Caenorhabditis elegans: one gene and its partner. The protein of the gene in region 1 interacts with the protein of each later gene in a pairwise test. Each region holds a gene or a part of one and is shown on either strand. Other genes may lie near its edges.

Region 1 (7,150 bases):
ACAAAATTACAAAAAAAAACTTAAAGAGTGCCGATCAACTATTGATTTTAATTTTTTCGAAACAATAATTTCTAAAGTAGTACATCTTTTTGAATTTAACAAGATTTTTCGCGTCGAGACCGGGTACCGTAGGCAGTAATCGCAAAAATTAGTACTCTCACTAAAAATTTATAGTAACACCGAATTTGATTTAAAAAATTCAACAAAACCAAGATTGACAAAAAAAAAGAAATTTTTCAACAAAAAAATTCAAGTAGAGTCAAATAACAGGCTCCGTCATTTTTTACGGCATTTTTGGGTATTCCAATCGATTTTTTGTACTTTTTAAAAGATTTTGCTTTTCCTAGTATATTCTTACTATTCTGATTTAAAAATTAACAGCTCATAGATCACCTTTCAAGATTAAAAAACTCACTGTAGTACCAGATAATGTTCTTGGAGGAGCTCTACGAATATTACTCCATCTTTCTAATTCTTTTCTTGATGATAGACTCTTTTGAAATCCTTGCAGCAGACCAAATTGTTCTTCATGAGAATTTGAGCATTTACTACTTGGAGCATTTCGATATCTTGTCAGAAGTTCAATTGGAATACATTTATCGGATCCTAGTGGTCGAAATGTTCCCAGCTTACAGACACATCGCCAAGTTCCACCGATTATCTGAAGTTTAAAACTTTAATGTTTTAAACAATTTTTTTGATACTTCTCTTGCAACTTCCCAAGTAAATTGCCAAAATGTTTTACTAGAGTTTTTAGAGTTTTTGAAGAACATCATTTCGAAATTATTGTGTGCTCAGTTAAATTTTCAAAAAATTTAAACTTCCAGCCAAACATTTTTTAAAGAAAATTTGTATTTCCCGCCAAAATTATTCCTACTTGGTTTGAAATGTTTTAGTAAAAAACTTGTGTAAACCTTACCACACAAACTTGTCCTAACTCAGGCTTGCACGGATTCTTTCCTGAGCAAAATTTAAGTTTTCCCAAAGAAAGTGAATTGGTCGCAATGTTGACTTTATTGTTTCTCGTGCAATTAGCTGTAAATAAATTATTCCATTTCATTTTTCAAAATCCTTTAGAATTTTCAAAATGCTCACCTGTCAACGTTTTATTGATAAACTCATCGGAACCATCTTCACAATCCCAGTTTCCATCCATTATAAAAGTATCAGAAACACATTTAATGGTTCCACATTGGCATGCAAATTGAGATGTAGTACATTCTTCATCTGAACCATCATCACAATCTTCTTTTCCATCTTGAAATTGAGCTTTTGGAATACATTTTGTGCCATCCGAGCATTGGAATTGATTCTGTGCGCATGCTGAAAAACATTTTTTAGGGGTTTGGTTTTTATATTCAGGTGGTGTTTTTTGAATTTTAGGAGTAGCGCAATGTCTTGATAAACTTGAAAAAAAAATTTTCAAAAAAGTATGCCCACTTTTTGCAACTTTCTTGTTTTTTTGGCAAATGTTTTTGGGATTTTTTTTTGTATCTGGATTAAAAAACATTAAATCAGTTTCAAAAATTATTTTAATTTATCTCTATTTTAGAGCTCATCAAGTGCAATGTTCTTAATTTTATTGTATTTTTTTTAATGAAATTTCATTTACGCAGAAAATATGTAACATTTTTGAATAATTTATTTTTCGGTTTTTCAAACTAAATAATTGTTATTTCCCTTTCTTAAACATATTGCAACAATAATTTCATAATGTATACATTGTTTTCCCTTCCCATACACAATTAACCTTGAATATCATCACTCACGTTCATCCGACTTATCTTTACAATCAGCAACACCATTAAGATATTTCGATGGTTCAATGCATGCACTTCTATCTCGACACACAAAATAGTGAGCAGGACATCCTTCGTCGAAACCAGAATAACAATCGATCTTTTTGTCGTGCAATTTGTTTTTTGAAATACATCGAGGTGATCCAAACTGACAGTCGAATTGCCATGGCAGGCACACTGTAAAATGGGATTAGGTTCTTGGCGGGGGATTGCAAAAAAGAAAATACCCTGTTGGCATTTTTTCAATTCGATTATCGTGTTGCGGTTAGGTAAGCTTTTTTGTGAATATTTAGAATTTAAAAATTCTAATAAAATAAATTACCAACATTTTTTTTATCGTTTTTATCAAAACATTGTAGAGACTCAAACATAGGACTTTGTTCCAAACTTTTCAAAAATTCCAAAATTAGTCCACTGTCATTTAATTTTAGTTTTTGAAATAGCCAACTTCTGATATATATTTAAAAGTGGCCACTTTTATCAAAACTTTTTGGAAAATGTACTCCGTTTTCCACGGAACTGTGCTAAAGTTTTACACCGGAACAGAAATTTTAAATCAAAAAAATTGGTACTTTTTGATAATAAATTTACTTTGAATTGAAAAACTTTTGCTCAAATCTTACCGCAAAGTCACAATGATATCCTAATGTAATTGGTCGATCGGCACATAGAGGCTTTCAGGCAGATTTGATCAATTTTTTGAAATTTTTAATTCAAAGTAAAGCTGTTTTCAGGAAGTAAAAATATTTTTCTATAATTTTGTGTTACCTTTCAGTAATTGCAGTAAAAATGTGCATACCTCTGACTTCCGAACCAATTCTACAGTTTTTTTTTAATAGTTACATTTCAGACCATACACAAATTTGCTCAATTAGTCAACACAGTGACTTGTAAATGAAATACAACCTAAAGGCAATTATCTTGTTCTCCTCGATAGGCCCGTTGTATGGGTTTCACGACCTTTTCAAGGAACTGGTGTCACTTGAGTTGCATTGAAACGAAAGGGAAGGTCAAACCAATTAAATTTGAATATCTTAATATCCATGTGTCTTTCGGAATTCGACTTATTTTGATCAAATGAAAGGGAAAAAGACGTACATTTTTACGGTCACTGTTCTTGATTTTTTTTGGAAGGTATTCAAAGATATATATTACGCTCGAATGACACAATCACACTAGGATGAATAAGGGGAGGCTCTGGAGGAAAAGAATACGTCTAATTACCGAATACGGTCTAATTGCGGCTGTGGTGCGTACGCGCGTTGAGGCACGAAGGTGCGGGTACTCATCAAAAAACGATCTGAAGAGTGCATAGAGAAACATTTGAAGTGGTTACTTACTAAAAAGGTATCTAGTCCGAGTAATGGTGTTATTATATTTTTTGAAAAAAAACACACACACAGCAAAAAGAAGTAGGACAACCTAAATTTAGTTTTTTTGGATTCTAGGTTATTAAGTTTAGAAAAGACGTCAGAGTTCATGAAATCTAGGTTTGCAGAAAAATTGGGGGTTTTGGACTTTTCAGATTTAGTGAAAATGAATTTTGAATAAAATACTTTTTTTTCAAAAGAAAATCCCCCTTTGAAAATTTTGGCAATTTTTCCAAGAGTATAAAGTTATTTTTTATATTTACAGGAAAGTATTTCCGCATATTTTGCAATTTTTAATAATAAGCCTCGGCTTCATAAACTTATGGAGTTTTCGGAGCAAAAGCTTTAAAAAGAATTGAAACAAACCGGAAAATTTCTCACCGGCTTTGAAAAAAAACTAAAATGCGAGAAAAAAGAAAAAAAGACAGTTATTAATTTTGTCTTATACATTGTCTCGGAAAACCGTGATAATTTTTTTTGGGAGTAGGACGTCACTGGAACTGTTTTAAATGTGAGGCCAGTGGGATATTATAATAAAACTTTTCGCTTTTCACACATAAATTTAAATAATTTATTTTGTTTCAAAAAGTGTTAATTGCTCAGTTTTTGCAACGTTTTTGGAAGCCACCGATCAAAAGAAAAATTTCCATCGGATTTTGTGGTTTGGAAAATTTTTATTTCGAGTAAGTCAAAAAAATGAACAAATAAAATTTCCTTCCAGTTTTGAAAAGTTTTAGAATCCTTTGAAAATGACTTGCTTTCAAGTTTTTGCATGTTTGCGTAGGGTAATTGACAGCTGGTTGAATATTTCAAAAAACTTTTAGAAATCGCCAGTATTCAAATAATTTAAAAATCACCTTCATCACTTCCATCATAGCAATCATCAACTCCATCTTGCCATTTTTTCATTGAAATACAAGAATCATCCATTTTGCATTGAAATTCTTCTCGAGCAACACAGCTTGTGGAATTCGAGCAGTTTACAAAAAATATAGGAATGTGTAAAAAGAGAAAAAATATTGAAATTCCAGCCTGCATTGTTATGCGGGTGTTATGTTGTCAAAAAAAAGTAATCTCATCTATCTCGAAGTAGTATATAGTTACGCCGGTTCGGTGAAGGCTGGCAGCAAGTCCGCAAAAGACAACCAGTCTCTTTTAGAGGCGGGGCTAACCGGAATGAGATGGAACAGACGGAAGAAGAAGGGCACTGTGCGTAGGAAAAGATGGAGAAGAAGAAGAAGAAGAATGGTTTAGGTATGTAGTTGTATATATCCATACGTCTTCTTCCTTCCGTCAAATGAGTTTAGGAACACTACTTATTCAAATCATTATGCGACGTTCTATTGTTTCATTTACCTTTTTGAATTACCCGCATTGTCTTATTGAAAAATGAAAGGTATCTTCTATTAACTTGACTTTTTTTTCGTTTGATGCTAGGATTAAATTTAAACATCGGCTATCAGCACAATTAATTTGTTATGTGTATAAGGAACCACGCAGCAATGGCATTATGCACGCACAAAATTGGGCACATTTTGCGTCGTGGAAAATTATGGTCTAGAAATTTTGTGACTACAGTTTTCAGGTTGTAATTTTAAATTTGCAGAGCTGGGCTCTAGTATATTAATTAGTTTTTTGGCGTTCAGTAGGGTGTCGCAAAATGAAAATTTTGGAGCAAATGATTGTATTTATCTACTCGTAACATTTTTACAGTTAATGCTCAGAAGTGATGATTTTCGAAGCTTAAATACACAACCTGACATGTATCTAAGTGCTGCAAAGAGCTAGATTTCAATAATTAATTGAATACAAGTTTTACTAATGATAAAAGCACGTGTTGTCAGAGTGCCCCATTTCGGTTTGATCTACATAGATCTACGAGAATTGCGGGAATTTGAACGCAGACTTCGCTTTTAATTTCGCATGGTTAAAAACGTGTTGATGTCACATTTTTTAGGAAAAACTTCCCGCATTTTTGTAGATCAAACCGAAATTGGTCAGCCTGGCACCACATGTAAAAGGAAAATTAGATGTTCGAAAAATTGAGTTCATTTTCAAAAAAAAAAACAAAAAGTTTCCAGATATTTTTCCATCCTTTAAACTCAATTATTGAAAAATTGCAAAAATGAGGCTTACTTTAGAGAAATTCTATACAGCCCGAGAATTGGGAATATTGAACTGGAAATACTTCAGAGCGAAATTTCGGTGGGTAGAAGTTGAGTTTTGTTAAAGTAAAATAAAATACTTTTGATAATCTAGTCTAACCGTAACGGCTTAAATGGATCTGAGGCCTGTCAAATTCACACTGTTCCGGGAAAGTTTGAATGTTTTGTATTTTTCTGTAAAAAATCTAGATATCCTCCAGGAATTTATCTATTACAAATTCACTTTTTTGATGTTTGATCATGTTCTCTTTTTCTTTCAGATTTTCCAAATCACAAGTTTAATAAATATTTTTCAGTGATGTCTCAAAGTACATACGGATTGCTCAGCTCAAACCGTTTCTCGGTCAAATTGAATTAATTCAATTTCTGATTTCCATGAAGAAAACCTCTTGAGCAATACGGTTTTCAACGCACAAGCCCGCCTTTTGTAATTGTAATCCAAACCTTTTTGATGACACCCGAACTGTATTGTATTACATACATACACACCCTTTTCTACAGTGCTATTGTTTTCCGAGTTATGCATATAAACCATATGTTCTTTTCTTGGCCAACCAGGGAGTTTTTTCTGGGTTTCCTATACCTCTGCATACATAAATAATTAGAAGGATGGAACAATTTGGAGAGAACATAAATTTACATTACCTCCTTCCTTGAAAAACCATTAAACTTAAGTGATTTGCATTGCATCCCGTCGTTCTTCCGTTCTCGGGGGGTTGAGAATACTAATGGCATTATTCGAATACACGGTCCTTCATATGGGAAGGTCATTTACAATGAATTTTAACGAACATACAAATGCATTAACTGTATAGATTCAGGTAAAACCATTGAAAATGATTTTTAAAGAAAAAACGAAAAAAAAATCGATTAAGTTTGAAGTAAGTTGGTGCAAAAATTTCCTGAAATTAAAATTTCAAACTACTTTGCTTCAAAATTGATAGGTAATACATTTTTATTACACAACATATTAATACATAATTTATACATTTATACATTTAATACACATTGCATAAGTTTTTGAAAAATTAGGAAAAATTTCAAAACTTTTTTATTTGAACTTCCATTTTTGCGATTTATTTGACTTTTTCCTGTTTTTCAGAAATTAGTTAACGATGTAGATTTTCCAAACTTTAAAAATGAATATCTGGCTTCAAACTAACTTTTTCAAAAATCCCTGTAGCTATTTTGTTGCAAATTTTGTGTTCTTTCAGAATTTAAAAACTAAATTTAAAAAAGTTTCATATCCGCTAAGTTCAAGCAGAAAAAGTGGATATTTAATCATACATTTCAGTGCACAATTTGAAATTGATTAAACCGACCATTTATATGCAAAATTAGTAGTTTTTCCAATTTTTAAAAATTAATATCTGGCTTCAAACTAACTTTTTCAAAAATCCCTGTAGCCATTTTGTTGCAAATTTTGTGTTCTTTCAGAATTTAAAAACTAAATTTTTAAAAAAATTATATCTGCTGAGTTCAAGCAGAAAAAGTGGATTTTCAGTCATTCCCTCAGAGCCCAATTTGATATTGATCTTTACCGACCATTTACATGCAAAATTAGTTTTTTTCAGAATTTAAAAACTAATTTTATATCTTAAAATTGTTTTCTTTTTAGTTTTAAAATTTCAAAAACTGACGCTTTTCACCGGTGAATGCATTTATTTTAATTCAAAAATACACAAAAATGCGGAGCAAAGTAGTTTATAAATTCACCAGGGAAGACGATAAGCTTCAAGAAGTAAAACCGAGTAAGAAAACGAATCTACATTCTAGATAACACAGCAAGAAAAGAAAAATAAACGGTTTGTAATAG
Region 2 (8,963 bases), 2.8 Mb from region 1:
TTACTATTTATTTTGAAAATTCCGTAAACTTTTAAATGATATAATCGCCCCTTCCTCCCCTTCTCAAAAAAATTTATTTCTGTTTCAAAGAGAGTTCGGTGGCAAATCAAATAATAAAATAAAAGAAAATTCTCATCTTCTGCAAACAATGGCCGATGCATTTTTCGATCCAACTGCTCCCGTCGCGAATGATCAGAAAAAACCCGATGACGAGTACCACAATCTCGCCGCGATGCCCTACGACAATCTGAATCCAAATGCGCCGACAGTCGGAGGAACACCGCCACCGCCACCGCCAGATGCTCACGGAGCCGCCGGTGGGCTCGTATCGGATAAGAAGGTGGCAAGTGGTGATGTGGTTGGTGATGGGGTTCAGGAGTTGCCCGAGTCGGATCCTTCGTCCATTAAGCCGAGAGTCAATAAGGCGAAGATCAAAAAGTTGAAGAACAAGCTTGTGAGTTTTTACGTTATCGATTTTTAAAAATATTGATTTTCTATGAATTATCGATTTTTTCACAAAATATCGATTTTCTATAGATTATCGATTTTTTAAATACCGATTTTTTATAAAAGTTCGATTGTTCGCAAAATATAGATTTTTTATAGATTATCGATTTTTTTTACAAAATATTGTTTTTTATAAATTATCGATTTTTTTTATTAGTGATTTTCAATAAATTATCGATTTTTCAAACATTGATTTTCTATAGATTATCGATTTTTAAAATATTGATTTTTTTTACAAAATATCGATTTTCTATAGATTATCGATTTTTTTCTAAATATTGATTTTCTATAAACTATCGATTTTATTAAAATTATTGATTTTCCATAGATTATCGATATATACATTTTTAATTTATCGATTTTCTCCCCACTATTGTGCAAAATATTCCTCCCAAGAAATCTTCAAATATTTCCAGAAAAACGCGAAAATCGTCTACTGGACAATGCTCGGAATTTGGACGATTTGTCTGGTTTTATTCGTTCTCGTTTACTTCAGTATTTTCCCGCTTTAAATAAAACAGTTTGGGTGGAAAATGAATAAAGATATTGGATTTTTCGTTCGATTTTGTGTTGTTCTTCAAAATATAGATTTTCAATAAAAACTATTGATTTTTCAACAAAAAATAATATTGATTTTCTTTCAGTGTTCGATTTTTCAGGAATACAATTATCGATTTATTTTAAATTATTGATTTTTCATAGATTATCGATTATTTTTTAAATATTGAAAAAAAATGATCGATTTTCAAACATTGAGCCATAATGAATTTTTGATTTTTTAAATATTGATTTTTCATAGATTATCGATTTTTTTTTAAATATTGATTTTCTAAAATTATCAATTTTTAAAAATACTGGTTTTATAAGATTTATCAATTAAAAAACTGATTCGTAGCAAATTAACAATGTTTCAAAAATAGAGATTTTTTTATAAACAATCGATTTTTTAATTATTGATTTTCTATAAACTATCGATTTTTTGAAAATATCAATTTTCAAAAAAATGATCGATTTTTAGAATATTGATTTTTCGAATATTACTGACTTTCTATTAATTATCGATTTTTCAGAAATATTGATTTTGAATAAATTATTGATTTTTTAATATTTCGATTTTCTTTCAAAAATTTCAAAAAAAAAAAATTAAAGCCATTTATTATCGATTTGACAGGATTGGACAGTAAGGAAAAATATGAACATTAGTAGGCATCTCTGGATGTGCCAAATGAATACAACCCGTGTGAGTAGGTCAAAAAACTGACAGGAAAAGTCGAGAAAAGTAAACGTTTTGAAAAAAATGAAATTGATTGGAAAAAAAAAACGTAGAAGTTTGCCCGTATCGTAATAGATTAGAAGAACGATGGAGGACTGGAATCAAGCAGTTTCCTGTTGTTGACACGTGTCACAGGAATCGATTTTCTCGTCGAACGGCTCCACTTGGACAGTGGCGACGGCAACTCCGAATCGCCGGCGGATCAGGGAACGGGCTTCGGCAACATTTTCCATGGCGCGGTTAGGAGATTCTGGAATATTGGAAGAGTTAGAAAAATATATTTTTATTAAATATTAAAATTCAATATCATGAAAGGCAGCACTTTTCCCTTGCAGAACATTCCAGGAAATTTCCAGAAAACTTTGAATTTCCCGCCAAAATTGTTTCTCAAAAAATTTGAATTTCCCTTCAAAATTCTCATTTAAAAATTTGAATTTCCCACCAAAAATCATTGGAAAAAATTGAATTTTTTTGCCAATTTTTTTAGAGCACATCTGAATTTTTTTTCAAAAGTTTCATTTAAAAAATTTGAATTTCTCGCCAAAACTGTTATTGAAAATTTTGAATTTATCTTCAAAACTTCAATAGCACGTGGTGTCAGGCTGTCTCATTGCGGCTTGATCTACTACAAATGCGGGAATATTTTTACAGAAAAATTGTCAGCACGCTCTTAACCATGCGAAGTCAGATGAGATGTATGCGTCTCAACTCCCGCATTTTTTGAAGATCAAATCGAAATAAGACATTCTGACCCCACGTGCAACAGAGAGACAATTTGAATTTCCTGCCAAAAAATTTTTAAAGGAAAACTCGATTTCCCGGCAAATTTTTCGAAAGAAAATTGTTTGAATTCCCGCCAAAAATTTTATAGCCAAAGTTTGAATTTGCCGCCAAAACTAACAGTTTAAAATTTTGAATTTCCCGCCAAAATTCCTATAAAAAATGTTCGAATTTCCCGTTAAAAATTATTCTCAGAAGATTTAAATTTCCTCCAAAATCTTTATATCAAAACTTTGAATTTCCCGCCAAAAATTATTCAGAAAATTTAAATTTCATTCAAAGTTTTTCAGAGAAAATTTGAAATTTTTAAAATCCAATTTTTGCTCTAAATTGAATTTCCCTTCAAAATTTTCATTTAAAATTTTGAATTTCCGGCCAAAAATTGATTGAATAAATTTGCATTTATATCCACAATATATATTTAAATTATTTGAATTTCCCGGTAGAAACTTCAATGGAAAAATTTGAATTCCCCGCCAAAATTATTTTTTAAAAATTTGAAATTCCCGGCAAACATTTTTAAAAGTAAATTTGAATTCCCGCCAAAATAACTATTGAAAAATTTGAATTCCCGCCAAAATCTTTATTGAAAAATTTCAATTTTCCGCCAAAATTTTCTCAGTTTTACTCAAAACTCCAAAATGAGAAGCCACTCACCAAGTGCCAAATGCACCGAAAACGCAGTCTTATCCATTCCAATAGACCATAAATGCAAATCATGAACACCTTTTACACCTTCCAACGCACTCAACGCCTTCTTCACATCACTCAAGTCATAGTGGCTCGGTGTGGCTTCCATCAAAACGAAAAAGATGTCCCGCATAACTGTAACCGTCGTGAAGAGCACGATAATCGAGAAAAGGAATGTGCAAATCGGATCGGCAAGTGTCCATCCGGTAAACCTAATGATAAGGGCAGCAATCAGGACTCCAATGGATTGCACCAAATCTCCAATGACATGAATCAGAGCAGCTCTAACATTCACATTCTTTCCATCATGAGCATGTCCATGACTTGAGTGTCCTCCATGAGTGTGCCCATGACCTCCAGTTCCGAAGTGCAACACCAATCCCATAACGATATTAAAAAGGACTCCGACGCCCGCGGTGATGAGCATCACATCAGCATCCACCTCATGCTCATTGTTCACAATTCGCTGAATAGCGACGACGACGAGCACTGTCGTGAGCACCCAGAGAATGATCACAGACGTCAGAGCACCAAGAACTTCGGCTCGCTCGTAACCGAATGAAAGACGCTTCGATGCGGGAAGACGTGCACAACGAATCGCAAAAATTGAGATGATGAATGAGAGAAGATCACTGAGCATGTGTCCGGCGTCTGTCATAATTGCTAGCGATTGAGCCCAGAATCCACCGACGAACTCGGCGGCGATGAAGACTGCGGATAGTGCTGCAACTGCCCATAGCACTTTTTCTGCTCGGCGACCCTGGAAACGAGAAATATTAGTTGGAAAATCCAAACAAAAAATTTTATGTCCATTTTTTTTTTGGCGAAAAAATGTTTTTTTTTAAAGTTATACACTGTGTTTTTAAAAAAATTACTACTAAAATTGTGCGGTAACACTGAATTCTGAGAATGCATGTGGTGCCAGGCTGTCTGTCCCATTACGGTTTGATCTACAAAAAATGCGGGAATATTTTGCCCAAAAAATGTGACGTCAGCACGAACTCTGCGTCTCTTCTCCCGCATTTTTTGTAGATCTACGTAGATAAAGCCGAAATGAGACATTCTGACATCACGTGAGACTGCGTATTGCACAACATATCTGACGCGCAAAATATCTCGTAGTAATTCAGTAATTCAATAAATTACTACTTTAGCGCAGTTTTTCTTTGCTTTTTCGTATTATCTTTGTTTTCATTCTTTGCTTAATTTTGATATTATATCGATAAATCTATGAACATAGAGCCGCGTAAATCGACACTACAGTAGTCATTCAAAGAATTACTGTAGTTTTCGCGTCGAAATATTTTGCGCGTCAAATAATGTTTTGATTTTTTCAGAAAAATATTCAAATGTATAAATTCTTGTCATATTTTTTGCGTTTTTTTTTCGCATTTTTGTCAAAAAAACGTCCCGCTAACTGAAAAATGCCTTGATTTTTATATATTTCAAATAAAATTGCAATTTTTCAAGAACATTTTCAGGGAAACTAATTTAAATTTGGAAAAAAAATCAGTTATTGAAATTTTCGACACTTTTCCAATATTTTTCAACATTTTAGGATGAAATATTCAATTCACAGGAAGTCGTCGTATTGCTAGATATTTGTGGGCGGCAAACGATTTTTTCCGGCAAATCGCCAAATTGCCGGAATTGAAAATTTTTGGCAAATCGGCAAATCGACAAATTGCCGGAATTGAAATTTCCGGCAAATCGACAAATTGCCGGAATTGAAAATTTCCGGCAAATCGACAAATTGCCGAAATTGAACATTTCTGGCAAATCGACAAATTGCCGGCAAATCGGCAAATCGACAAATTGCCGGAATTGAAAATTGCCGGCAAATCGGCGAATTGCCGGAATTGGAAATTTCCGACAAATCGTCAAATTACCGGAATTGAAAATTTCCGGCAAATCGGCAAATTGCCGGAGTTGAAAATTTCCTCTGATATGTATAATTGCGAGCTCGTGTTTTGGCTTGATTTTAAAAAAAACACATTTTTATGCTAAAATGGTCGATTTTGGGCTTTTTACATAGATAGCAATAATTAAAATTAAAAGCAACATTTTTTGAAAAATTTAGTTTTAATATAATGGTCATTTTAATAGAGGTAAAAGTTGAGCCATGTTGCAAAAAAATTTGCTATGTACCTTTTGATATTTCTCATCATGACTATGCTTATGCGCTCCTCCTCCTGCTCCACTACAATCCGAAGAGGAATCATCATTATTGTGTGTGTGTGAGTGCCCATGACCCCCATGAGAGTGCCCATGCCCATGACCGTGATGATGGTGGTCAATAGAGTCGGCAGATACTCCAGAATCCGAAGAGGACACCGACTGGGTGTCCTCTTCGATGTTGGCGGGCAGGTTGGATGAGGAAGAGTCACGTTTGTCACTGGATAGGCGGATTGATGACGGAGATATCATTGAGATTGTCATAGTTCTAGAGATTTCAAAAAATATATTTAACGGGAATTAAGAGAAATGAGTACGGCACGTGTATGTGTGTCAGGCTGTCCCATCAAGGTTTGATCTACCAAAAATTCCCGCAATTTTTGTAGATTTTCGTAGATCAAAACGACGTGGGACACTCTGACAAGAGCAGCGAAATTTCAAAATGAAAAACTTAGTTACTTAGTTCCGCGATTTTTTTTGTTGTCCCCTTTCAAAGAACAACACAAAGACTGGGGAGCGGTGGAATGCGTTTTGACAAACAAATAAACAAGACAAAAATGGGGTGAAAAAAGAGAATAAGGAACACAATAAACAGGAGAATAGGAAAAGGAAATGGAGAACAAAATTGAATATGGGAAAACGTTCTGGCTGATAGGAAAAAAAGGAAAAAAATTGAGTGGGAAGGAAGGTCGCAAGATTTTTTTATGCAAATTTTTAAAAATCAAAGATCTTTCGAGTCATGCAGGAATTTGTTTTTTTTTTGGATATGAAGCTCCAAGAGCTCCGCGAGCCAGCTTACTTTTGGACGTATTTCAATAGAAATACATTTTTTTCTAAAATTAGATTCTTATGAAAAAGTTAGTACTTTGAATTGAAAAATTCGAAGGTTTTCAGTGCATTTTTTAAAGTTTCAAAGCCAGTGAAATTTCGTGAATATTTTCAAAATCTGTATTTTTTTGGATTTTTTTCCAAAAAATTTTTTTTTAATTTTCAGTTATTTTTCAAAAAATACCGACTTAAATGCCAGATTTTTTTTCTTCAAATTTCATCGTTTAATTCAAAAAAAATCCGGCAATTTTTAGATTAAAAAGAATAGAAAAAAAAATATTTTTTGCCTTAAAAAAGTTTAGAAAATTTTCAAAAAATCGAAAAATTTTATATTTTATTTTTCAAAAATACAATTTCTGAAAAAAACCTCAAGTGGTTCTTAAATTAGGTAAACATTTAATTTTAAGCTTCTACAACTTTTATGAAAAAAATTTTGACATAAAATTTTCAAAAAAAAATCAGTTTTAACAAGATAAAAAGAAATTAGCTTGAAAACTCCGCTTTGCACAAATTTTTAAGTTTTTTGGAAAAAAATTCCAGGAAAAAGTTATATGAAAAACCAAAAAATTCATGCCAAAAGTTCAAAAAAGCAAAAAAGCAAACAAATTCTTACAAAAAATTGGAAACTTTTCAACAGAAAAAAAAACTTCAAAAAAAATTCTTATTGCTTTCTGCAAAGCAATAAGAATTGCAAGACTGAAAATGTGAGGCATTCAAAAAAAATTCACAAGCGCATAATAAGAAACACGAGGAGAGAGATTATAGATAGTCAATGAAGGAAAAGCAGAAGAAGAACCAGATTGTATTTCCTGCCATCAAGCATCTATCTATCTAGCAAAAACGAGAGACTTGCAAGTGAAAAGTGAAGGAAAAAAAAAACGATTTTGATCTACCTCCCTGTAAACGAGGCGAAAGTGTAAAAATTATTGTTAAGCTACTGGGAATTTAATTAATTTTAATTTACAGACTTTGGCAGACTTCTAGAAAATAAAAAGGTGAAACAAAACTTTGGTCAAGATCGTTTGATGTGCCGTTTATGTAGGCGAGAGATGGACATAAGACTGCCTCTAAATGGTCTTCTGAATTCAAAAAGACACAAATTCTATGTCTTGAACTTCAAAAAATAAGTTGAGAAAATGTAAAGATCAAGTATTTTGTGTTTTCATCCATCAAAAATCCTTCAAAAATCTCAGAAAAAAGTTGTTGAAAATTTGAATTTTTTGGGGTCGAATTTCCGGTATTCTCTACTTTTTGGCTACATTATTATTTTTTCGACAAACTCCCAGAAAAGTTGTGGAAACTAGGGAGGAACTACAAAAAAAAAGGTACAAATTTTCAGGGCTTGAATTGAACTTTTTCAAACTAGTTGGGGAAAGAAGGAGTCAACAAAATAATTAGTGATTTTTTAGAACTCATCAGAATTTTTACAAAAACATTTTACTTAGGCTTAAGATGAGGCTAATGCTTAGGCTTAGGCGTAGGCCTAGGCTTAGGCTTAAGCTTCAAATTAATTTGTGTTCAAAAATTGTGATCTACAAGATTCTTAGGAAAAAAATAAGAATCCTTTAAAAAAATCATCTTCTGATCGCTTGATCTCTGATTTTAATACAATTTATATATAAAAAAAATATTATTAGATGCCCTTTAAAAGGCTCATGTGATAACATAAGTAGCAACAATATCACGTGGAAAAATATTAGGTAATTTAAAAATATTTTCTAGAGAACTGAAGAAAGCAATAAAAGTGCAGAAAATGTGAAACGGAAATTGTTTCGAAAAAAGACAAAAAAAGAAAGAAAAAAAGGAGGCCGAGATGATTTACACACCTCCCACACATATGAGAAACTAGTTTTTTTTTGTTGGAAAAATGATAGAGTTGAGACAAAAAAAAAGAGAGATCAAGTAAAGTGAAAAGGACGTAATGTGAACCGAACTCTTTATCAGTATAGGTGTCTTAAAAAAGTGTCAGCATTTTCGTGATTAAATGTCGGGGCTTTTTCATAAAATTTATATACATGTCGACGGAGGAGGAGGAGGAGTGAAAGTGTGATAAGGGGGAGACGTCATTCTAGTTTGTGATACAGTTTCGTGAAATGTATTCCGGAGAAGTACTGCAATTAGAAATGACCTTATTAGGAGTGTGCGGCAATTGTGGCGAATTTGCCGCAAACACCTCAAATTGGATTTTAAAAAATTGACCGAAACTATTGATTTTGTTCAAAAAATTATAGTAAAAAAACATAAAATTGAGGTATTCAAAAATTAAACTTGTGCTAAGAATTTAGTAATTTTGGAGCTCCTAGAAATATCATTAAAACTTTTTAAAATTTTTTTTTGGAGTTTGCCGAGCTGGGCAAATTTTGACTCCTTATGATGGCTCAAAGAGCTTCAAAATTTAAAAATCTTGCCAAGGTCAGCGAGTTCACTCACAAAACTTATAGGATTAGTGAAAGGTTACTGTAAGAGCGCTTAGTAACGTAACCTGTGCAAAAAGATCTACTTTTAGCCACAGCGACCATGTCGTATTTTCTATATTAGTCTCGCACTTAAAGGTGCTTTAGTCAATTTTTTAAAAATTGCTTTATTAGACTCTATATTGTTTGAAAACACGAAATTTCATAATTAAACTTCTTTAAAACTTCTCAAAAAAAAGGTTATGGCGGCTCAAAAAATGACTTAAAATAGGTTAAAATTTGAAATTTGACAGACT

The links. The genes of interacting proteins can lie anywhere in the genome.
Region 2: the proteins of mua-3 (region 1) and ttm-1 interact in a two-hybrid assay, tested with the Caenorhabditis elegans proteins (one large-scale study listed by BioGRID).

Annotation. Positions count from the first base shown.
Region 1 is NC_003281.10:10,157,754-10,164,903, reverse strand, and holds the start of mua-3 (Transmembrane cell adhesion receptor mua-3), read right to left. Parts: upstream 4,208-7,150; coding exon 4,027-4,207; intron 3,017-4,026; exon of another isoform or gene 2,801-3,016; intron 1,977-2,800; coding exon 1,770-1,976; intron 1,324-1,769; coding exon 1,096-1,323; intron 1,036-1,095; coding exon 920-1,035; intron 662-919; coding exon 416-661; intron 1-415. Other genes in the region: K08E5.5 (uncharacterized protein), read left to right, coding at 4,559-4,565, 5,631-5,692. UniProt on the Caenorhabditis elegans protein: Involved in cell adhesion and required for organ positioning and attachment. At the hypodermal surface, required for attachment of the hypdermermis to the basal cuticle in postembryonic development, possibly through intermediate filaments of the cytoskeleton.
Region 2 is NC_003281.10:12,951,324-12,960,286, forward strand, and holds ttm-1 (Zinc transporter ttm-1), read right to left. Parts: upstream 5,849-8,963; 5' UTR 5,690-5,848; coding exon 5,399-5,689; intron 4,011-5,398; coding exon 3,218-4,010; intron 2,031-3,217; coding exon 1,882-2,030; 3' UTR 1,646-1,881; downstream 1-1,645. Other genes in the region: Y39E4A.1 (uncharacterized protein), read left to right, coding at 149-454, 924-1,019. UniProt on the Caenorhabditis elegans protein: Promotes excretion of zinc from intestinal cells into the intestinal lumen in response to increased dietary zinc. Involved in cadmium resistance, possibly by promoting its transport from cells.